2 linked regions of the Ovis aries genome follow. The protein of the gene in region 2 interacts with the protein of the main gene of each other region in a biochemical or structural test. Links are inferred from orthologs where the notes say so. Each region holds a gene or a part of one and is shown on either strand. Other genes may lie near its edges. The genes, in order: SETD7 and DNMT1.

The links.
Region 1: of the proteins of DNMT1 (region 2) and SETD7, one has a biochemical effect on the other in vitro, tested with the Homo sapiens proteins (2 studies listed by BioGRID and IntAct, with this or other methods). The link is inferred for Ovis aries from reciprocal best matches to the Homo sapiens genes DNMT1 and SETD7.

Annotation. Positions count from the first base shown.
Region 1 is NC_056070.1:18,223,557-18,227,985, reverse strand, and holds the start of SETD7 (histone-lysine N-methyltransferase SETD7), read right to left. Parts: upstream 2,883-4,429; 5' UTR 2,780-2,882; coding exon 2,740-2,779; intron 1-2,739. UniProt on the Homo sapiens protein: Histone methyltransferase that specifically monomethylates 'Lys-4' of histone H3. H3 'Lys-4' methylation represents a specific tag for epigenetic transcriptional activation.
Region 2 is NC_056058.1:12,575,638-12,579,444, forward strand, and holds part of DNMT1 (DNA (cytosine-5)-methyltransferase 1), read right to left. Parts: intron 1,914-3,807; coding exon 1,877-1,913; intron 1,216-1,876; coding exon 1,108-1,215; intron 920-1,107; coding exon 700-919; intron 1-699. UniProt on the Homo sapiens protein: Methylates CpG residues. Preferentially methylates hemimethylated DNA. Associates with DNA replication sites in S phase maintaining the methylation pattern in the newly synthesized strand, that is essential for epigenetic inheritance.

The sequences.
Region 1 (4,429 bases), on a different chromosome or scaffold from region 2:
AAGAGTGACACTGATAAAGAAGGACACTGACACAACCTTTAACTGTTGCTTTCAAACTCAGCTACCAACTGTTTCCTATATGTGACTGGCTCATTAAGAAATAAAAAATAAGAAGGGTGGAGGAAGACTATCTGGAGAAGCGAATGGCAATCCACTCTGGTATTCTTGCCTGGAGAATTCCATGGACAGAGGAGCCTGGCAGGCTACAGTCCGTGGGGTTGCCAAGAGTCAGACATGACTGAGCAATTCACACACACACACAGGGAGACAATGTAGTATGGTGGAGCAGGGTTCTGGGGTCCCAGCCTGTCCCCTGCATGGCTGAGGGTCCTTGGATCAGTTCTTAACTCCTCTAAGCCTCAGTTTCCTCCTCTGTAAAATTAGGACAGTATGAGTACCCACATCATGAGACTGAACGCATAATGTGTGTGTGAAACACTTAGCACAGAGCCTGCACATGGTAAGAACTAAATAATTAGAGCAAGAATGATAGCTAAGACAATGAAATTACAGAGAACACATGCTCTATATATGGACAGAGGTAGGTTAGCTGGTTCTTCAACACCAAGATGCTCAGACTAGCCTTTTACCAGTCCCCTGTGCGTGCGTTAGATCTTGACACTATTACAGACAGCACTTTAAAAGGCCAGGAATGGCTGGAAAAAAGCCTACTTATACACATGCATGCTCTAGACACTGTGTGAGTCGGAGCCTTGTGCGCCTCTAAGGACTTAAAGACTCTGCGTTACTTTGTTTACTGTTGGTATTACTGAGTAACCATGTGTCCTGGATTGCTCCAGACATTCAAGGTTTAAGCCAGTTGTGCCAGCATAAGTATTAAATAGTGACCCTTCTCAAGTATATTCTGACTTTGGATATAATGTCTATTAACATACCCCCACATTCTATATAACAGAAACTTCCTTGCTTATATAAAGAAGTTTCTCTGCTTCCACCCATTGAGCAAACTCAAAAGCATCGATGTATTTCTAAAGTGGCTTGTTCACATTCTGCAAGGAGCCTGGGACTGTGGACAACTGAGTCTTAGGTTTCCAAACAGCTTCAAAGGGTAAGGTAGTTTAACCTTGGGAGCACTACCTGTGATCAAGGGTTTGCATTATTTTTACGAGTCTAAGTAAACTTTGAAGAATGAGAGCAAGTCCTAACAATATGAGAGTAGCATTTTTCAATTATCTTTCATAACATGAAGGCATAGGTAGTCAATAATTTAAAGAAGATTACCAATCAACGTCTTTGGGCCCCAGGAAGTTCCAGCATTGGCTTTACTTAGAGAGAAATAGTTCAGGGCATTGTGAATTTAAAACAAAACCAACACTCTCTGAAGCACGATAAAGAAAGAAGTTTCAACACTTACATGAAGACAACTTTTAGAGAATTCAAAAATATTATCCAACTTAGTCTCTCCCTAAGACCTTGGGAGCATTGCAAACGGAGTCAATTATGTTGATATAAAAATTGATTTTTTTTCCTCTCAAAGTAGCAGTAACTGCATTCTCATGAGTCTGTAAGCCTTGTCACTTTGTTTTTCTTTACCATTTCTAAGAACTTGTTTATACAAATTAGATAGAAAGCAGATTCAACCAAAAGCTAAAAAATGTTTACTTAGCTGTTTGGTTAAAATATTCTGGAATAATACCACGCAACACTGCAAAACATCACGACGTACCGTCCAGGGTAGAATCATAGAAATAAATAACGCTAACGTGTATTTTCCAGTATTCACTGTTACAAAATCATAACGTCTCAGGATACAAACAACTAGATTGTATAACGTCCCCACCTCGTTTTTTTAGAACTAGCCAAAAAAAAAAAAAAGAAAAAAGAGGTGGAGAAACTCAGCAAAACAAAGTGGCGAGAAAAGTCGGGGGAGGGGCGCTGGAAGCGAAGGGGCGGAGAAACACGACACAGAGGCGGTGATATCACCCACAGCCAACTGCATGGAATTCAGAAAGTTAAGTGTCACCCAGCAATTTGGGTCCGGGCTTGCGGGGCGCCTGCACAGTGTGGCGGCGGCGGCAGCCGCCGGGGAAGCAGGAAGGGGGAGGGGCGGTGTGGCCGAGTGCGCTCCGGGGCAGCGGAGGCCAGGTCGGCGTGCGTTCAAGCCCCGGGTCCGGAGCCTTGTCCCCGGCCCTGCAATGATTTCATCTTTTCGGAGGAGCGACCGCCCGAGCCGCGGCTGCCACGTGCCTGGTCCAGCCCTGTGCGCTGCGCCGGGGGACGGACCCGGACGCGACCGCGGTCACCGCGGATCGCAGCGGCAAGCCGAACGAAAGGGCTGGCGCCGGGAGAGGGGCTCAGGATTGCTCCGCCGAGATCGCCAGCGGCGGCGGGGGAGGGGGCCCGGGGGGGTCTGTCCTCCTGCGCACCTCCATCCCCCATCCCCGAAAAGGGGAAGGCCGGAGTGCCGGGCAGGTTTTGTAACTCCGAGGGCGGATGCAGGCGGTGGCCGGGCAGGATGGAGCAGCCGTGCCCCTCTCCCGACCCCCCGGGGACCCCGGCCCCGCTGAGCCCGGTTCCCGGCCTGCGCCCCGCCGCTCAGTGCGCGTCGCCGGTGGCGTGGCCGTGGCCGTCCGGCCCCTGCGCGAACCCGGCCACCCGCGTAGGGGACGGTGGCGGCCGCTGGGGGCCCGCAGCCGCGCCGGTCGCAGCCCGCCACTCCTTCCGCGTCCCGTGCCCCCTCCGGCGCCTCCTCCCGGGGCCCCGCAGAGATGCTTGTACCTTCCACCGCCTCCTCCACCATCTCATCGTCGCTATCCATGGCGGCTGGGGACCCTGCCCAGCTCGGGGCCGCGCGGCTGCCTCGCGTCCCTCCGGGTGCTCGCGGCGGCTGAGCGAGCGCTGGGGCTGAACCCTGCGAGTTTGGAGGAGGAGGAAGAGGAGGAGCAGTCGGGGCTGGCTCGCACTGCCTCCCCCTACAGCCCTTTCAATTCCTTGGCCTTAAGCTGCTCCGTCGGCAGCCGTCCCTCCTCCCCTTCGCCCACTGGCCCCCTTGCCTCCCAGGCTCCGGGGTGCCGCGGTGGCCGCCGCCGCCGCCGCTGCAACTTTCTCCTGTAATACCCCCTCTTTGTTATCGAGCAGCTGATCCGCTGACATCACCCAGCGCCGGTGCGCTCCCTCCCTCGCTGATTGACAGTTCCCTGTCCCTTCCCAGAAGTAAGGCTCCTTAAAACGAAAGGCGCTCCCGGTCCGCGCTGGCTCTGCGCCCCACCCCTCCAGTCCCCCGGCCCATTACGGGTTTAGCTTTTGCTTCTGCGAGGTTGGGTGCGCTCCGAGCGCTCTCCTCGCGGCGCTTGGGACCTCCGGGTAGCCACCCTTGGGGGTGGGGAGGGCTCAGAATGCTCGACCTCCAACTATGCCAGGGACCCCTTGGAAGTCCGCGTTCAGTGCTCGCCAGCCGTAGCAGCCCTCCCCTCCCCGCCCCGGCTCCTCCGGACAGCCTCCAAAGAGCCGGGCAAGCTCAGGCAGCGTTCCTGATACTCCAGCGCCTCAACTTCCTCTCGCCCTCGCCCCCACTTCATCCCGTTTGCCACCCGGAGCTGCACGAGTGCGGCACGCACGGGAGCGCAGGTGTCCCCGCGTTGCAGCATCACATCCGCGAGCAGGTTTCCCAGGCGCCAGGGGGTGACATCCAGCCCGGATGCCGCCGGACTGCGGCTCCCACCCTAGCGCGCTGCGTCCCCACCCTCCTCGGGACCATCAGGCGTCTCGTCTCGAGTGATTCAGAGCTTCAGCAAATCCAAATGGCAGCGGGCTCTTTATCAGGCAGGAAATAAGCCGCGCGGAAGGCCTGGCAGGTCCCTCCTCGCGGTGGTGGTAACGGAAAAGGAGCCACCGAGTGGAGCTCCCGAGGAAGGACCCTCCGTCTGGCGCGCCTCCCCCTGTCGCCTCCCGCCCAGTACGTGTGATGTCCCCAGCCGTCTCTTGGTTTCTCCAAGTGCCAGCCCTTCACAGATTCCTGCTCTTGAAGTGTAGAACATCACGGGGCCCCCGCTTCCCGGCCCCGCCACTTAGTGTCATTACGGCGTTGCCTCTTACAGGTGGCGGTAAAGGGCGGCTGTAAATAGCTGGTTAAATGGATGCAAATGTACACAATGTACCGTGGAATTACCGGGTGCCGCTCTGGGCATCTGCCAAGAACAGCTACTGCACGCAGCGGGCGAGGGCGGGGAGCGGAGAGGAGGGAGCAGAGAAAGTTGTTCTGTTTTGTTTTCTGAACCACGAATGAGACTTTGCGGATTTCGGAGTACTTCCAGTACCCGGGAGACCACGTCTTGTTTTGGGGCTTTGTGCTTAAATGCCAGGTATATATATATTTTTTAATCGAGTACTGTGTTTCTTCTTAAACTCAGTTTTTATTCGGTGAAAAAGAGCACAATGTTAGGGACATTTGTCTCAGCACTGCCAGAAA
Region 2 (3,807 bases):
AGACCAGCTTCTAAGGATTAAGACTCCTCCTCTTCTTATTCTCAGCAACCACCATCTTGATAAAACTCACCAAATTAGCACCTGCCAGTTTGCTGAACCATTTTAACACAACCTCTTATATGACAGGCCCAACCCTGACACAGACAAGGAAACGGAACCTCTACTTACATCATCAGAAGGTGAAGTGGTCAAGAGCCTGACCTGAGCTTAAGTCCCACGCTCTTATTCTTTTAAACATTTCAGAAGAGTTACTCTGACTACAAACGGGGAAGGAGTCTAAGAATAAATGTTTAGCTTAAACAGGCATATAACTTAGTTCTAAGTATCAGTAGATCCTGTTACTTTATACCTCAAATTCATCCACGTTTGGAGATCTAATGCTCTCAAACTTGGTCAAAGACAAAAATTTCTTTTCTACATCTAAGCTAGTTAGAAGTGTACACAAGGGGGAACTCCCTGGCAGTCCAGTGGTTAAGACTGGGCACTTTCACGGCCATGGGCCCAGGTATGATCCCTGGTCAGGGAACTAAGATCCCACAAGCCGAGTAGTGCGGCCAAAAATATATACATATATGGATACACAAGAAATCAGTGCTACCCAGGGGAGGGGGTGGGATGAACCTATGGCGCCAAGTCTAAGTGTCCTCCTCTTTGGTGATACCACACTCCAACAAGGTCAAACGAGTCGAATGCTCTTACACTTTGTTTCTCCATCAGACTTGCTTCTCCTGGGCGTGTAAAGTCTGGAGACAGGTTTGGGGGGCTTGCCTTTCTCTGCCATTACCACTCTGCAATCCTCACCACTTGTCTGGCTCCCGTTCTCTAGACATCCATTCGCTTCCCGACTGAAAGCATGAGCTCCGTTCTCCAAGGACAAATCTTTATTTAAAAGGGATTTGACTTTAGCCAGGTAGCCCTCCTACAGCAGGAAAGGATAATTTGAGTAGCAGTGAATGTAAACAAGTGGCAATGAGAGAATAATAAGAAACACAAGTGTTCCCTTTATATAACTAACAGGTGACATGGGGAGTTGGGCTTATTCGGCCTCCCTGTCACAGACCAGTTACCCGGGAGGCCAAGGCACTTGCCAGGACCCTGAAGACTTACCTCAGATAATTCCTCTTTATGTAGTTTGGTTTCCAAATCACATAACTGATTCTTTATTTCTGTCTGCAGAAATTCGTGCAAGAGATTCAGTTTCTCCTTCACACATTCCTAAGAGAAGGATACATGTTTAGAAGTCCCCACACTCCGAAACTATGAGTTTCTAACTAATGGACTAAGGCACAGTTACACTGCCTGGCCACATAACAAATGACTGAATGGCAGGCAATGCTGAGTCAAGGCATGTTCGTGATATTTCCATTAAGATCATATTACTTATTATTGTTTCTTAAGAGGGACTTCCCTAGTGGTCCAGTGGCTAAGACTCCACACTCCCAATGCAGGGGACCCAGGTTTGATCCCTGGCCAGGAAACTAGACTTCATGTGCCGCAACTAAGACCTGGTACAGTCAAATAATTTTTTTTTTTTTAAAAAAGATCATATCACACCATCTATAGGGTGGTGAAAAATGGGAAGATTAGGAAGTGAAACAGACACATAATGGTATAGTAGAACAAAACGGATTCTGAAAAAGCAGTGTGACCAGGGCAAGTTATAATCTAGACCGGATGATAGGCAGCCTAGATTGGGAAACTTGATGAGTGACCAAAAGCTAACTGATAACAGCCTATTAATATAGCACATTAGACAAAAACATCCAAGTTATCCTTAAGAGCTTAAGGAAGAGAGCGCCATTTCCACTTTGAGCCACACAGTCTATCAGATAGTCACATCTGATAACAGATTTTGTTAAGGTGGAGATGACCTTACCTTTTCTGTCAAACTATCTCTTTCCAAATCTTTGAGCCTGGGGGAAGGAAAAAAGGGAAGAAAGAAAATACCTGTTAAGCAACACTGTTCATCTATAATACCAAAGTTTAAAGAACTTTGGAAATAACTTCAACACGGATACTAGAAAATACAACAGTTTCCCCCCCACCCCCAAAGTGTAGAATGCCCCACTGCAGTGCCTACATACACATTAAGAGGTCATCTGCGATCTGAATGAGGTTCCCTTTCTGGGGGTGTTTTTCTGATAGTGGAAAGGGATAATACAGGCACTCTATAACAATGTTATTTTAAAGACACTGGCGGTCCAGTGGTTAAGAGCCTGCACTCCCAATGCAGGGGGCACAGGTCTGATCCCTGGTTGCGGAACGGAGATCCCGCATGTTGAACAGTGCAGTCAAAAATTAAGATTAAAAAAAAAAAAAAGACACTGGGAAAGAGGAAGCATAGTTGGGGTCCTTCCCAAGTTAAGTGACCAACAGGTGGTCTTCCTCCAGTTGGACCTGACCAAGAGTCCACAGAAGGGCATACAGGGGTTAGAGAGAGTGAACCAGGGCAATAGGAGGCTGCGGGAACAGTCAGCTGACACCCCCAAAGGCCAGGATGGGGAGAGTGGAGTGGCAGCACTCCTGAGCAGGAGATGGAGTCGGGGTCACCTGGGGCAGCACAGGGTGCCCCCCACACAAGGGAGAGAGAGGAAGTCAGAGAAGCTGGCTGGCGCCTCCCCCCAGAGCTCATCCTTGTGAATGTTTGAACCTAGCCATTTAGGTATGCAGAACTGTCATGAGTTTCGCTGGAAAAATCATGGTCTGACTTGATTACTGAAGATGAGTGTCTTGCCTCTTTTCAGGGGAAGGGAGCAAAGAGAATAAAAGAACAAGAAGCAAAAGACACAGAGGAAATGGAGAGGCTGTTGTTCCTGGCTTGGGCAGTGTTCCTGTGGGCAGCGGGGTAAGAACAGGTCCAACCAGCTAAGCCAGCGTCCGTCAGCAGAGGGGGGTTGCCCTGGGCAGGGAAGGACTGGGCCTCCACCATGCGTGGGTCCTCCCTTTGGGCACCCAGGCAAGGCGCTCGGTTACCACCAACCTAAAGGGCAGGAATAGAGCTCTCCCAGACGGACCTTCCCAGAGGGAGGGCAGATGTAAGCAGCACAGACAGGAATGTGAGTGACAGGCTCTGCTGGACTAGTGACAGACAGTGGCTACTCCGAGTGGGTGGGGATCCTGCTTCTAGCTGCAAACATCATCTGTGGGTGCCTCCTCTGCGCCAGACCCTGTTTCAGGCAACGAGCTGAGTGCTGAGATGTAGGCACTGCCAGGCAGGGGCCTCCTGGCTGGCGCTGCATGCTCAGCAGAGGTCTGGCTATAGAAGAGACTGAGCAGGGGCTTTCTGGTGGGCCAGCGGCAAAGACAATCACACTTCCACTGCAGGGGGCCTGGGTCTGATCCCAGGCCAAGGAACTGAGAACCCACACTGCCACGGAGCACAGCCAAAACAAAAAAGATAGCATATTAACCACTCTGTCGGTAGACTGCTGTGTATCACATGTGTTCTGTAATCTGGACCCAAGATTCAGAATCAGGCTTTTCAGAAGCATGTGGAGGCCCTTCCAGGCAAAAGTCATTCTACCCTCAAAGCAACTCAGGTCCTGGGAGAGCCTTAGTTGAGGACGATTGCAGAACAGGTTGCTCAGAGCCGGAGCGCCACAGCCACCCACCTTCAGTCACTGCGCTCACAAAACCCTGGCAGGACACAGCTCCCACCTCGACTGGGTCACCTCGGGCGTCAAGGACAACGCTCAGATGGAAGCCCACCAGTGGGCCCTTTGCCCGACGCTGACAACACCTACATCTGGGCAGGAGACAGATCTGCGGGTGGGAATTTTTTGAATCTTTCCTATTGAAGTGGGATAT